Linked DNA regions of Sus scrofa. The protein of the gene in region 1 interacts with the protein of each later gene in a pairwise test. Links are inferred from orthologs where the notes say so. Each region holds a gene or a part of one and is shown in the gene's direction. Other genes may lie near its edges. The genes, in order: C8H4orf19, PDCD10 and EIF3E.

The links.
Region 2: the proteins of C8H4orf19 (region 1) and PDCD10 interact in binary tests that used the Homo sapiens proteins (3 or more experiments, as listed by UniProt). The two-hybrid records come from large-scale screens. The link is inferred for Sus scrofa from reciprocal best matches to the Homo sapiens genes PGCKA1 and PDCD10.
Region 3: the proteins of C8H4orf19 (region 1) and EIF3E interact in binary tests that used the Homo sapiens proteins (3 or more experiments, as listed by UniProt). The two-hybrid records come from large-scale screens. The link is inferred for Sus scrofa from reciprocal best matches to the Homo sapiens genes PGCKA1 and EIF3E.

What each region holds. Positions count from the first base shown.
Region 1 is NC_010450.4:29,011,510-29,015,686, forward strand, and holds the start of C8H4orf19 (uncharacterized protein C4orf19 homolog), read left to right. Parts: upstream 1-1,374; 5' UTR 1,375-1,629; intron 1,630-4,177. UniProt on the Homo sapiens protein: Acts as a tumor suppressor. Acts as a tumor suppressor for colorectal cancer cell proliferation by targeting KEAP1/USP17/ELK1/CDK6 axis.
Region 2 is NC_010455.5:106,556,035-106,560,348, reverse strand, and holds the start of PDCD10 (programmed cell death protein 10), read left to right. Parts: upstream 1-1,398; 5' UTR 1,399-1,538; exon of another isoform or gene 1,539-1,543; intron 1,544-2,134; exon of another isoform or gene 2,135-2,328; intron 2,329-2,592; exon of another isoform or gene 2,593-2,765; intron 2,766-4,314. UniProt on the Homo sapiens protein: Promotes cell proliferation. Modulates apoptotic pathways. Increases mitogen-activated protein kinase activity and STK26 activity. Important for cell migration, and for normal structure and assembly of the Golgi complex.
Region 3 is NC_010446.5:29,340,868-29,344,231, forward strand, and holds the end of EIF3E (eukaryotic translation initiation factor 3 subunit E), read left to right. Parts: intron 1-303; coding exon 304-406; intron 407-696; coding exon 697-831; intron 832-2,545; coding exon 2,546-2,584; 3' UTR 2,585-2,726; downstream 2,727-3,364. UniProt on the Homo sapiens protein: Component of the eukaryotic translation initiation factor 3 (eIF-3) complex, which is required for several steps in the initiation of protein synthesis.

The sequences.
Region 1 (4,177 bases):
GATGACACTCTGTATAGACACATCAGAGGTTTCAGTGTGTCAACATGACATATTATGTAACACTGGTAATTTGAGGTTACCAGTAACACCACCACCTCTGACTTTACAGAATCCCAACCTTTAACAAATGAGTGGAATTTAGCCAGCTGCTTGAGCAGACTCAGGATGGTGGTTCTCAAACTGGAATGTACATCATTTGTTTAAATACAAGTTACTTCACCCTCCCTGGCTCCACCAGCTCTGAATCCAAATGTCTGGGGTGGAGCCCAAGAATCTGCATTTTTGCTAAATTCCTCCAAATAATGCTGATTCTGCTAGTCTGGGAACTATACTTTAAAACCCAAGATAAATACCAGTCTTTTTGGTTAGAATAATCTAACCGATAAATGTAATCAGTATCCTGTGGACATTACTTAAGCGTGGGCTAGAAGTTAGGACGGTCCTTTACTGGGATAAAGAGTTTTTATCAGAAAGTGATGTAAAAGAGCATTTAATGTCCCTCATAAATCTATCATTTTTAAAGCATGCTGCTACTACACAAGTGGGAAGAATCTCAAAACATGAGTTTCCCCCCATAAAGCGTGGGAAATGTCGTCGTGTAAATGGCGCTAGAATCACTAGAGTGGACACATTAAGAGCTGAGGGCAGTGTGTTCATCTTTAAATAGTATTCTGTCTGTTGCTTCTCCAGCATTCTGTTTTATCCTGACTCTCCCCGAATGAATGAAGGGGAAAGAGAGAAGACGACGAGCTAGGTGGCGCCGTTGCTTAACACATTCTCCTGTCAAGACCAACACCGACGCACTTTGGAGCACAGGTGAATAAACTTTCCAACCCTTAAATACTATTTTAAAGTAAAGCAACCAAGCTTAGATGCACGGATTGCAGCAAGCACGGCCGTGGAGCTCAGGACGGTGGACGGAGTGTGACAGCCAAAGTTCCAACACCCCAGGCACAGAAAGGGAAGGTGGGGGCAGGAAAGCACATCATTGAACTCCCACTGCGGTCCTGAGGGTGCAGATGAGTGTGTGCAACTTCCCTGGGAATTCTCGCCCCAGTAGCGTCTGCGCTCTTTCCCATCTATCCCATAAAAAGCAGGCGAACTGCACACACCAGGTGTAAGCGGCTATGGCCAGAACCGGGAAGGAAACAAACCCCAAGTTCACGGGGGACGAGGGGAGGTCTCTTCGCCAGGGAGTGCATTTACGTACCTCCCTGACTCACGCCGAATCTGAGGAAGCTCCCCTCTCCCAGCAGCACGGCGGAAAAGCCGGCACCAAAGTTTCGCGGCGCCGGCTGCCTGGCAGCCTGAGTATCGGGGATCAGAGGCCGAACTCCGGGATTTTCTTCTCCGGTGCGTCCTGCAGCCCAGTCCGGGCTCGGGAAGTCTGCTGTCGCGCTCCCGGGGCCTCTGCGCGAAGCGGGGCGCGCAGGTGAGGGGTTGCGCCGGCCGGAGGGGCTCGCCCGCCGGCCAGACCACGTGACTCATCGGTCCAATGACAGCGCCGGGGCGGCCGCAGCGAGCTCGGCGGGTCCAGGCGCTGCTGAGCCGCTGGCGTTTCCCCGCGCGGCCGCCCGAAGCCGGCGAAGTCATGGGCGCCGCGACACCGCCGCTGCTGCCCGGCCCCAGGTAGGGACCTTCTCCCGCCCCGCGCTCCCGGCCCCGCCGCGGGCAACACGGGGGCTCGACTCCCGCGGAACTTGGCTTTGTGGCATGATTTCTCCCACTTCTCTCGCGGGGCATTTTTATTTATTTCCTTTTGCCGGGGGAGAAAAAAAAAGAGGGCGGGTGAGGCAGTTCTCGGTTTGGTTGCTTCGGGAAAGTCAGGTCGTTCAACAAAGGCGCGGAAAGAGAAGCAAACTCCAGAATGGGGTGGATGGGGGGACTTTTACAAACTTCCCCCAACTAAAGACAAAGACAGTTTGCAAAGCTTGGCATCTGATTGGTATATGAAACACTTCTGTCTTTAAATCTCTAATTAATGAACTTTCAACGGTGCCTGAGAACTTGAATTGGAAAAACTGCGAAAGATTTTCCTCTTATTTCTGAGCCCTCCTCTTCCCCTATTTTTAAACATCTGAGTGTTTTTAAGTAAAACTGAAATGGAAGGTGACCGCCGCTGTTTCTTTGAAATGTCCTTGGGTCCCAGGATTTGCCCCTTTGGGGTGTTGGCGCCCTGGGTGGTGGAGAGGAGAGGGTGCAGCCCTAGGAAGCCGCATGGATTGAAGGAGGGGTCCAGGTGCAAACGGTTAAATGTTCACAAAATGTTTGCAGAATGTTTGATAATTAGGCAAGCATCTCCCAGGTCGATTACTTGGGTCTCATTGACCTTGGCAGTCCGGATGAGGTGAGATTTTTCACAAGCCACCACTGAGCAGTTTTTCTAGTGATACAAGACAGAAATCAATGTTTGGGTTTTTTTTTTTCTTCCTCCAGCACTGTGATTAACCTTAAAAACAAAACAAAAACTCCTATTAGCAATTTAGTACATTATATTTTCCATTGCAGTATAGATGTTTGCCCAGTGAATTTAGAAGTCGGTGTTCCATGAGGTGGTTCAAATCATTAAAGAATAGAGTGGTTATTTTCTCACTTCTCACCCTAGCTTATGCATGTTCCTGGGTAGTTGTAAACAAGCTATTTAAGAAACATCTGAGAGTTGAATGAGAAAGAAATGGAAAGTGGGTTGCTGCTTTTAAAGACAATAGATTCTGGATTTGCCACTTATTCCCACATTTAATCCCCCAGTTAACACTATTTTAAGGAGCCAGATGTTAAACCCATATCTATAGAACAGTTCAGTTGTGAAGCCTATCACTGAAACAATAACACAGCTCTGAGTTCTGGAGTTGTTTGTGTTTCTCTAAAGTGTGAAGAGTCAGTTGTAGGAAGCTCCCTTGATCGCAGAGGTAAAATGAAGCAGACACTGATAGAAGTAGGGTTTCAGTCTTTATCTCTTTTGCTAGTTCTGTGTCCATCCCAAACCAGTTCTTTGATTCAGCAAGTATGTGATAAGCACCTACCTCATGGCATCTGGCCCCAGGGCCTGGCCCTCAAAGGTTTTCAAGATTTAGATATATAATGACATCCGAAGATCAAGGTGGCCCATCTTAGCTATGTTCTAAGAGGTTTTGCATGTTTGGAACTCAAAGCAGAGCAATAACTTGCATGTCAACTAAATACGTTCATTAACCTAGAAATGGGACGATCCCCCTGACTTCCTACCTAGTCCCAGTCTGAGCCTGAAAACAACCATGCCAAGTGCTGGCCACAATCTAGTGTCAGCCCAAGGGCAGAGCAGTACTGCCCTGTTTGCTCCAGGAACTGCCCTGCCCTTGGTGCCCAAAGAGCCCATTGACTGTGCTTCCAGGAATGAACTCCAGTTTCCAAGAAATTGAATACCAACCTCTCAGTAGTAGCTGGGTTTCCTCCACCTGAACTGTTCATTTCAAATTCCTCTAGTTCCACAGTTTTTTCAATAACTCAGAATCTTGATTCTCTTTGGCTCTTGGTAAGACAGTATCTAGCTCCTGCATTTCTATTTCTTCTTCTTCTTCAGGACATTAGATTGATTATTGGGTGCAGGTAGAATTACTGCACCCAATAATCAATCTAATGGTTATTTAGAAAAGAGTTGATAGGCTCATGCTAGGAGAAGGCAGACCTGAGCCTTCATCTGTCTGCTGGTCAGACTGATTACCTCATTATATGCTTTTTAAAAATAATGCTAAGAATAATAAGAAAATGAGGGAGTTCCCATTGTGGCTCAGCAGAAACGAATCTGACTAGTATCCATGAAGACACAGGTTCGATCCCTACCTCACCTAATGGGTTAAGGATCAGGCCTTGCCATGAGCTGTGGTTTAGGTCCCAGGTGCAGCTCGGATCCCACCTTGCTGTGGCTGTGGTGTAGGCTGGGAGCTGCAACTCCGATTCAACCCCTAGCCTGGGAACCTCCATATGCCATGGGTGCGGCCCTAAAAAAAATAAAAGAAATGAAAATGAAATCTTTTGTCTACTCACACCCCTGTCACCTTAGTATATCATGGTCCCATAGCAATTGCAATGTTCAAAAGGACCATATATCATCAAAATGACCCTATCCTAAAATGTGGTTATAATACACCCATCAGGGGAATGTGTATCCTCAAGCAGAGATTTAAAAGAACTCAAAATA
Region 2 (4,314 bases), on another chromosome or scaffold:
ATTATTCCTGACGATATTTGCTTCTTTAACAGAGATCTCTTTCAATTCTAGGAACCTGCAGTATAACCGCCCTGGAAAACAGGTCGGTAGCAGGACAATCTGATAAAACAATGTAAGGGGTAGATAGTGAAGAAGAATGCAAAGTTATTTTCCTAGTGAAAGAGTTCTGAAGTAATTTTATATCAATGACATTTTTTTTTAACCGGCTACGCACCTATCTAAATATCACCCTGTCCTAAATTAGTAGGGTTTCCTCAATCTTAAAATCTTCCAGAACAGTTTTAACGGTACAACTGAAACCAAAAACACTAACCACGCCCTTTATACCCAGAGTCAAACCACCTTTTGCTTTTTATCCTCTCTCCAAGTCCAAACATGTACATCTTTCACCTAAAAGGGTTTGCACCAGTTTCCTAACCCGAGTGAGAGACTCTTAGCTGTGCCTTGATATTATTCCTATTGGGAGACGCTTTCTCCCAGGCAGAGCAGACGCCCAGAAGTGGCACCCACGCTTACCTCCCACACACCTGCAACCCCTGGCGGGATGCTGGAGCTAAGGCTCCGAGGACTGCGCTCCGCTCCTGTTCCTGCTCTCCTCTCTCCCGGGAAACTACAGTCCAGGCTGCGCCTTCGGCTGCTACAGGGACCCAAGCTCCGCCTCTCCCTCCTCTAGTTGGCGAATTCAGCAGCTGTTGCTCCTCCCCCGGCTGTTCCGCCTGCTGCCCGGTTGGAGGCGGCGGGAAGCTGCTGCCCTGGTACCTTCGCGCTCCTAGCACTTCTGCAGCTGTCCTATCGCTTTCCTTCCCCGGGGACCCTTCTCCCTTCACTCAGTGGCTTGACACCTGGCACAGGGCTTCCCGCCCCGTCCCGACACCTACGCGAGGAGCCCGGGCTCGACCTATCCCTGACTGACCAGCAGGTCTGGCCGCCCGGTGTGCCTGGTTCTTGGCCGCTTTGGGGGAAACTGCTCCTCTAGCTAGGGCGCATCCTCACACCGCGTCCTCGCTCCACCAGGGCGATTTCTCCCCCCCCCCCCCCGGCTTCCTCTCAGGTTCCACAGCTCAGGCGCCCCATATTCCCCATTCGGAGCTCTTCCCCCGCCCCCATTCCTTCCTGGGCTCCGCTAGCCCGCCCCCACAATGGGTGAGTTGACTGCGGGGCCGACCCTGCATCCTGATTGGCGCAGGTGAGACCTGACCCCTCCCTTCCTCTTCTTTCATTTCACCCTCTCTCTTCTTCTCACCTCCTCCAGCAAAGGCAGGGAACTCTATTACTATTGGTTGAAACTGTCTCCACCCATCACCTTAGGCTCTACCGCAGGGCCTGACGGGAGTTGTAGTCTCTTATGTGCAGGAACTGCCGACGAAGCCCGCGAGTGGGACTACGAGTCCCCACAAACCCCTGCGCGACTCCGGCTGGGCAGGATTCCGGACAACGCCTGGTTCCTCTCGGGTCCTTCCGGCGTCGCCGGAGTGAATTGATCCGGGAGTTGAAGAGGGCTCCAAAGGTGGGAAGTGAAGTCAGTCCCTCAGTTGCCGGTAAGGTGAGGCTGTTCTGTCCCAGTCCCCATAGCGCCGCGCGGAGCAGAAGAGGTCTAGGGTCACACGGGAGCCGTGGCTGAGGCCCTTGGGCTTGGTTCTGGCAGGCGGAGCGGACGGGGCTGGGAACCGGGCCCTATGGGCGTAAGCGAGGTTACCCTACGCGAGTGGCGTAAAGCGGGTTTGTAAATGCCGCCTGCCCTGCTCGGGCCCGAGCGCCTCCAGGAAGTCTTCTCTAGGTGGGGGCGGGAGGGGAAGGGCGAAGTTGGCCTCTGGTGCCCCCGGAGAAGGGAGAAGGCGGATGTGCCTGGGGTGGGGTCCTCTGAAGATGTGGCTTGGGGTGAGGAGGTAAGGGTTTTCCCCCTGCTTTAGAAGTAGGATAGAGAAAAGAGCAGAGAAAGGAAGGGGCGATTGGAGTCTGCTTTTGAGGTGACTCGGGTTGTGTCCTTCGAGGGAAGAGGAGAACTGTAGAAGGAAGAGTCAGATGTTGACAGAGATCTACTGATTCAGTTCCAGTTTCATGATGTCCCTCTAAGGAGGTAATTTTGCCCCATGTAGTAAAGATTAACACTATTACACCTTTACTGTTTTCAAAGGCCATTCACAGTGCTAATGAGGAAACTGAGGGGATAAATGACGTGCCCAAGGACGCACAAGTAGGGACTGATCTTCTGAATCTAATCCAGTTGTAATCCAGCTTCTGAATCAGAGCCACCGCACCAGACTGAAAGTGTAGGAAGGTTTTGTTTTTTGAAGAGGGTGGAGGAAGTTGCAAAGTAATGCATTTTAGGTATGTCTAAGAACCTCTCTGTGAGGTGAAGAAGGTGTTTTTTTGTTTTTGTTTTTGTTTTTTTGAGCTGGGAAGAAATTTCTCAATAAAAAAAAGCATGCACTCTGACCTTTAGGAAAAATAAGGAGAATCAGTTTCAATTTACCTAGTTTGCTTGTTTTTTGTGGTTTTTTTTAGGGGTTTATTAAGTGACTCTGCTACCATTTTAAAGGATAGATAAATGGGATGGGGAAAGTCAGATAACAGTATGTCTCATCCTTACAGGTGAAAGACACCCCTTTCCCTTCCTACCATAGGACCGTTTTTACTGTTTTCGCTGTCAACTGAGAGCAATGGGATTGGAATTCTTTCATGAAACTTATTTTACATTTTTACAGCACTGAGAAAGATTTTAGTGAGCTTATTACTAGGAAAGAAGATACATTGCTTTTTTGGAGGTAACATCACATTTTGTTGTGTTGATTTTGATTTCCCCCTCATTTTCTTGACTAGTGTGTGTTTGTGTGTGTTTATAATAACACCAGGCTCTTGTGTATTTTAATTTTCTTAGCATCATCTATAACTTTTAACTCATTCTTATTTTACGTTGGAGAATGGAAAAATAGGACATTTGTGTTTTATTTTGAACAGAAAGCAGTGTGCTTGTTCCAGTCTATCCTTTATAACTGTTAGGACCAGTTACAGTTATAGTTCCTAAATATTAATATTATACAGTTCTTTAATAGAATTTCAGGATTATGTTCATTGGCATCATGATTTCTTCATGATAAGTTTCTGTCTAAGAATCAGGTATCTACTGATGGCAGATAATCAATCATGGTTTACTGTTGTATAACTGATGATTGAAATATGTTGTATTTTAAATATACTCTGCATTTATTTAACTTGTACACAATGTGTTTAACTTTTGAATCCAAAGACACTTTCTAGGATCAGAAGTACTAATACATTCCCCTAGGATTGAAGTGAAGATGGTCTGGAAATTAATATGACTTAAAATTAGAAGAGAGGTGTGATACTATAGAATGAAGTAAAATCAGGAATAATTAGCACCACGAGTAAGTAATGCAGTACACAAGGAAGGAAGACCAACTAAACAAATGGAAAATTATGTGGGGATAACTGGCTCAGTGCTGTGTTAGAAGGGTGCGGTAGTTTAAGTAGACCATAAACTGAATATGAGTCAGTGATAGTAAAACAAGAATGTTAATCTATTCTCTATATGGCAGTGTAGGCATTTGTTTTTTGTTGGAGGAAGTGAGAAATGAGTTCTTCTGACTTTTGGCATAGAGCTGGGAGCTTGTGGAATGAGCTTTTGAACCAAAAGTCAGGAAAATTTGGAAATCAGTAATATAGGGCAGTTTGTCTAGTATGTGTTAGTTTTTGTCCTTGGTTAATTCTACCACTAACTTCTCTTCATCTCTGAGGTCCCGTGTGTAGTTTTGCTCTTTCACCTATGGTGAATGGTGGAATAATGTTTCTGTTGTATTTGTCATCTTTCAGTTCACATGCTGGAATACAGTGGTCATTTTGGATCTCAGTGCATTGAATAATTTAGGGTTCACAAAATGATGTGTACCTTTGTATTTTTATAGTAATTTGCAGTTCACCAATGTCCACATGTGTTCCTATTTTGAGTTGTAGGAGCCCTGTGTCAGCTTTTGGATATCATCTAATACAGGGCTTGGGATGTGTACCACATACATCTATCTTTGAAGACATAAGATCTTTAAGAACAGGATGATCATCATTGTATTCCTAGTAGGTCACATAATTGAGTATCTGTTTACACAGAGAATAAAGAGGTTCAGATTGGTTAAGAGGAAGGTGATGTAACTAGTAACTTGGTGGGACCAAGACATAATCCAGATGTTATGACTATAGATCTTTAATATTGTGGAATAAAGACTCAGATTATTTATTTTACATGAGAAAAAGACTTAAAATGATGTAAAATATTTAAGTACTGTTACCCTCTTACTCTGT
Region 3 (3,364 bases), on another chromosome or scaffold:
TACTGGTTAAGCACCTGGTAAGTGTAAGATACTTTTCTGGAAGCTAAAAGAATTTCTGTAAATGCAGAATATGGGACACTTCCCTTAAAGATCTTACAATCTGATTGGTGAAATGAGATGGACTGTGAACAGTACAAGATAGTAATAGCACAAACATATGAACAGTAGTTTTAAAAGTCATAATATTTAAGATAAAGTGGCTCTTAAATACCTAAAAGTTTCTATACATAGTATAGGTCAAAGACTATGTATATAAAATAAAGCTTTTAGACTCAGTTAATGTCTTTTTTGTTTTTTAATTAGCATGTTGGCAGATAAACTGAATATGACTCCAGAAGAAGCTGAAAGGTGGATTGTAAATTTGATTAGAAACGCAAGACTGGATGCCAAGATTGATTCGAAATTAGTGAGTATTATGATAGCTTTGCTACATACTAGAGAGATTATTTTATATTTTGGAGGGGGGCTTTCATTAGGAAATCTATTCTTCTCTATTAAGAATTTATTCATGTATAGTAGTTCCTTGAAGGCAACAGCTACCTCCTGTTTTGTGTTATTAGATGAATATTGTCATCTCTCTACAGTTCAGAAAAATATGTGCAGCAGGCAGGTAGTGTTATGGTGTCATACTCATGACTTATGTGGGAAACTCAGTTGTTAACATTACAGGATCAATTTCCCTCTGTCTCATTTTAGGGTCATGTGGTTATGGGTAACAATGCAGTCTCACCCTATCAGCAAGTGATTGAAAAGACCAAAAGCCTTTCATTTAGAAGCCAGATGTTGGCCATGAATATTGAGAAGAAACTGAATCAAAATAGTAGGTCAGAGGTAAGAACCACACCTATTCTGTCTGGGATTTAGCAGTAATGTAACATAATTGTCAAAGGGGCTTCACTTGGAAACAAATTAATATTGGTTGTATCTGATTTTGTATTTGTTTATTGGGGGTATAAACTATTTTGTTTAAGAAATTACTAAACTGAAAAGACAAAAAAAAAAAAAAAAAAAAAAAGAGTTCCCGTCGTGGCGCAGTGGTTAACGAATCCGACTAGGAACCATGAGGTTGCAGGTTCGGTCCCTGCCCTTGCTCAGTGGGTTAAGGATCCTGCGTTGCCCTGAGCTGTGGTGTAGGTTGCAGACGTGGCTTGGATCCCGTGTTGCTGTGGCTCTGGCTTAGGCCAGTGGCTACAGCTCCGATTCAACCCCTAGCCTGGGAACCTCCATATGCTGCGGGAGCAGCCCAAAGAAATAGCAAAAAGACAAAAAAAAAAAAAAAAAAAGAAATTATAAACTGAAAAGAATTTCTCTTAGATATATTATGCATTAATCGAGGAAGGTAAAAAATGTGTTCGTAGTTTATTATATTTTTTTCCTTTACTTGTGTGCCTTCATTAACTCATTTCCTCGGTGTTTTCAGCACATTGTTTTGATACTGGCAAATGGTAATTTACATGTGTTGATCTCTTTCAAGTACTTGAAATTTGTGGTCCTTTTAAATCTAAAGAACTTCTTTGGAAGTGTTGACCTTATTATATCTGTTAACATTGATCTTATAGAATTTGATTTTTATCTGATATTCATATTTAACTGTCAGAAAAATATATCCCCCTTTTTGATAGAAATTTTGCATATTAGATATTAAAGGAATTTGAATGGCCTTGTTAAAAAGACAGAAGAATTAAGAAATTGTCCTTGCCTATTACAACCAAGTCTAGAATGATTGAACCTGAAAAATAACTTTTATACAATGGGTTTTTTTCCTACATGCTTATGGATCAGTCTATATTGATTTTCGTTATGGTATTGATGATACTGTCATTGTTATACTTTATAATTGGTCAAAAACTGTTCCAGGGTTTTTTTAAATTTATTTTATTGAAATATAGTTGATTTACAATCTTGTGTTAGTTTCTGATGTACAACAGAGTAATTCAGTTCTTTATGGATATACATGTGTATGTATGTGTATATGTACATACATACTCTTTTCCATATTCTTTTCCATTATGGTTTGTTACAGTATATTGAATATAGTCCCCTTTGCTATACAATAGGCCCTTATGTTTATTCTATATGTAATAATTTGCATCTGCTAATTCCAAACTCCTAATCTATTCCTCCCCACTCCTCTGCCCTTGGCAACCACAAGTCTGTTCTCTATGTCTGTGAGTCTCTTTTTGTTTCATAGATAAGTTCGTTTGTGTCATATTTTAGATTCCACACATAAGAGATATCATGTGGTATTTGTCTTTCTCTTTCTGACTTACTTGGTATGATAATCTTTAGGTCCACCCATGTTGCTTCACATAGCATTATTTCATTCTTTTTTATGGGTGAATAATATTCTGTTATATACCTAATCAGATGGTATTTTGATGTGTTTGTTTTGCTCTAAGTGAGACACCTCACATTTAGTAATTCCAGGATTTGTTAAAATCTTAAAGAATGTTGTAGAAGTAATGCTGAAAAAATGCTAGTGTCACTTTTTTCTAAGGTAGCTTTTCAGAAAATATTTTTCACTCTGTTTCTCTTTGTATTTTAGGCTCCTAACTGGGCAACTCAGGACTCTGGCTTTTATTGAAGATCTGTAAAGAAAAATGAAAAAAAACTGTAAAAGAAAGATGAAATAATAAAGCCATTATATAAAGGTGAAGCATTTTAGAAACAACATACTGATTATAAATTTTGGAGATTTTGAATAAAATTGGCTGTGTTTCATTTTATTTCCTTGTGTATGTAAGTGTTTGCTTTTTATTTTTAATTTTTTTAATTTTTTTGGTCCTGCATGCAGCAGTTTGATATGGATTAAACCCCAGCCACAGTGGTGAAAGTACAGAATCCTAACCACTAGCCCACTAGGGAACTCCTCAGTGTGTGCTTTTTTTACCTTTTCATTTTGGAATAATTATAGATTCACAGGAAGTTACAAAAATAGTACAGAGAGGTCCTATGCAACCTAAACCTAGTTCGTTTTTAATGTCAAAACTAGGATATTGACATTGGTACAGTGGTGTGAATAGCTCTGTGCCATTTGAGCATTTTTTTGTGTAACCATCACTGCAGTCAAGATATAGAGGTATCATCCTCATAAAGGTCTCCCTTATGCTACTACCCCTTTGGAGTCACATCCACTCCCTCCAGCTCTAACCTCTGGCAACCATCAGTCTGTTTTCTGTCTCAATAATTTTGTCATTATGTAGATGTTAATAGCAATGGAACCATACAACATGTAACTTCTTTGAGATTAGTTTTTTCTGCTCATGATACCCTTGAGATCTGTTCAAGTTAGATATATATGTATTCAAGTTATATATATATAAAACTATTCAAGTTATATATATATCAAGTTATATAACTATTC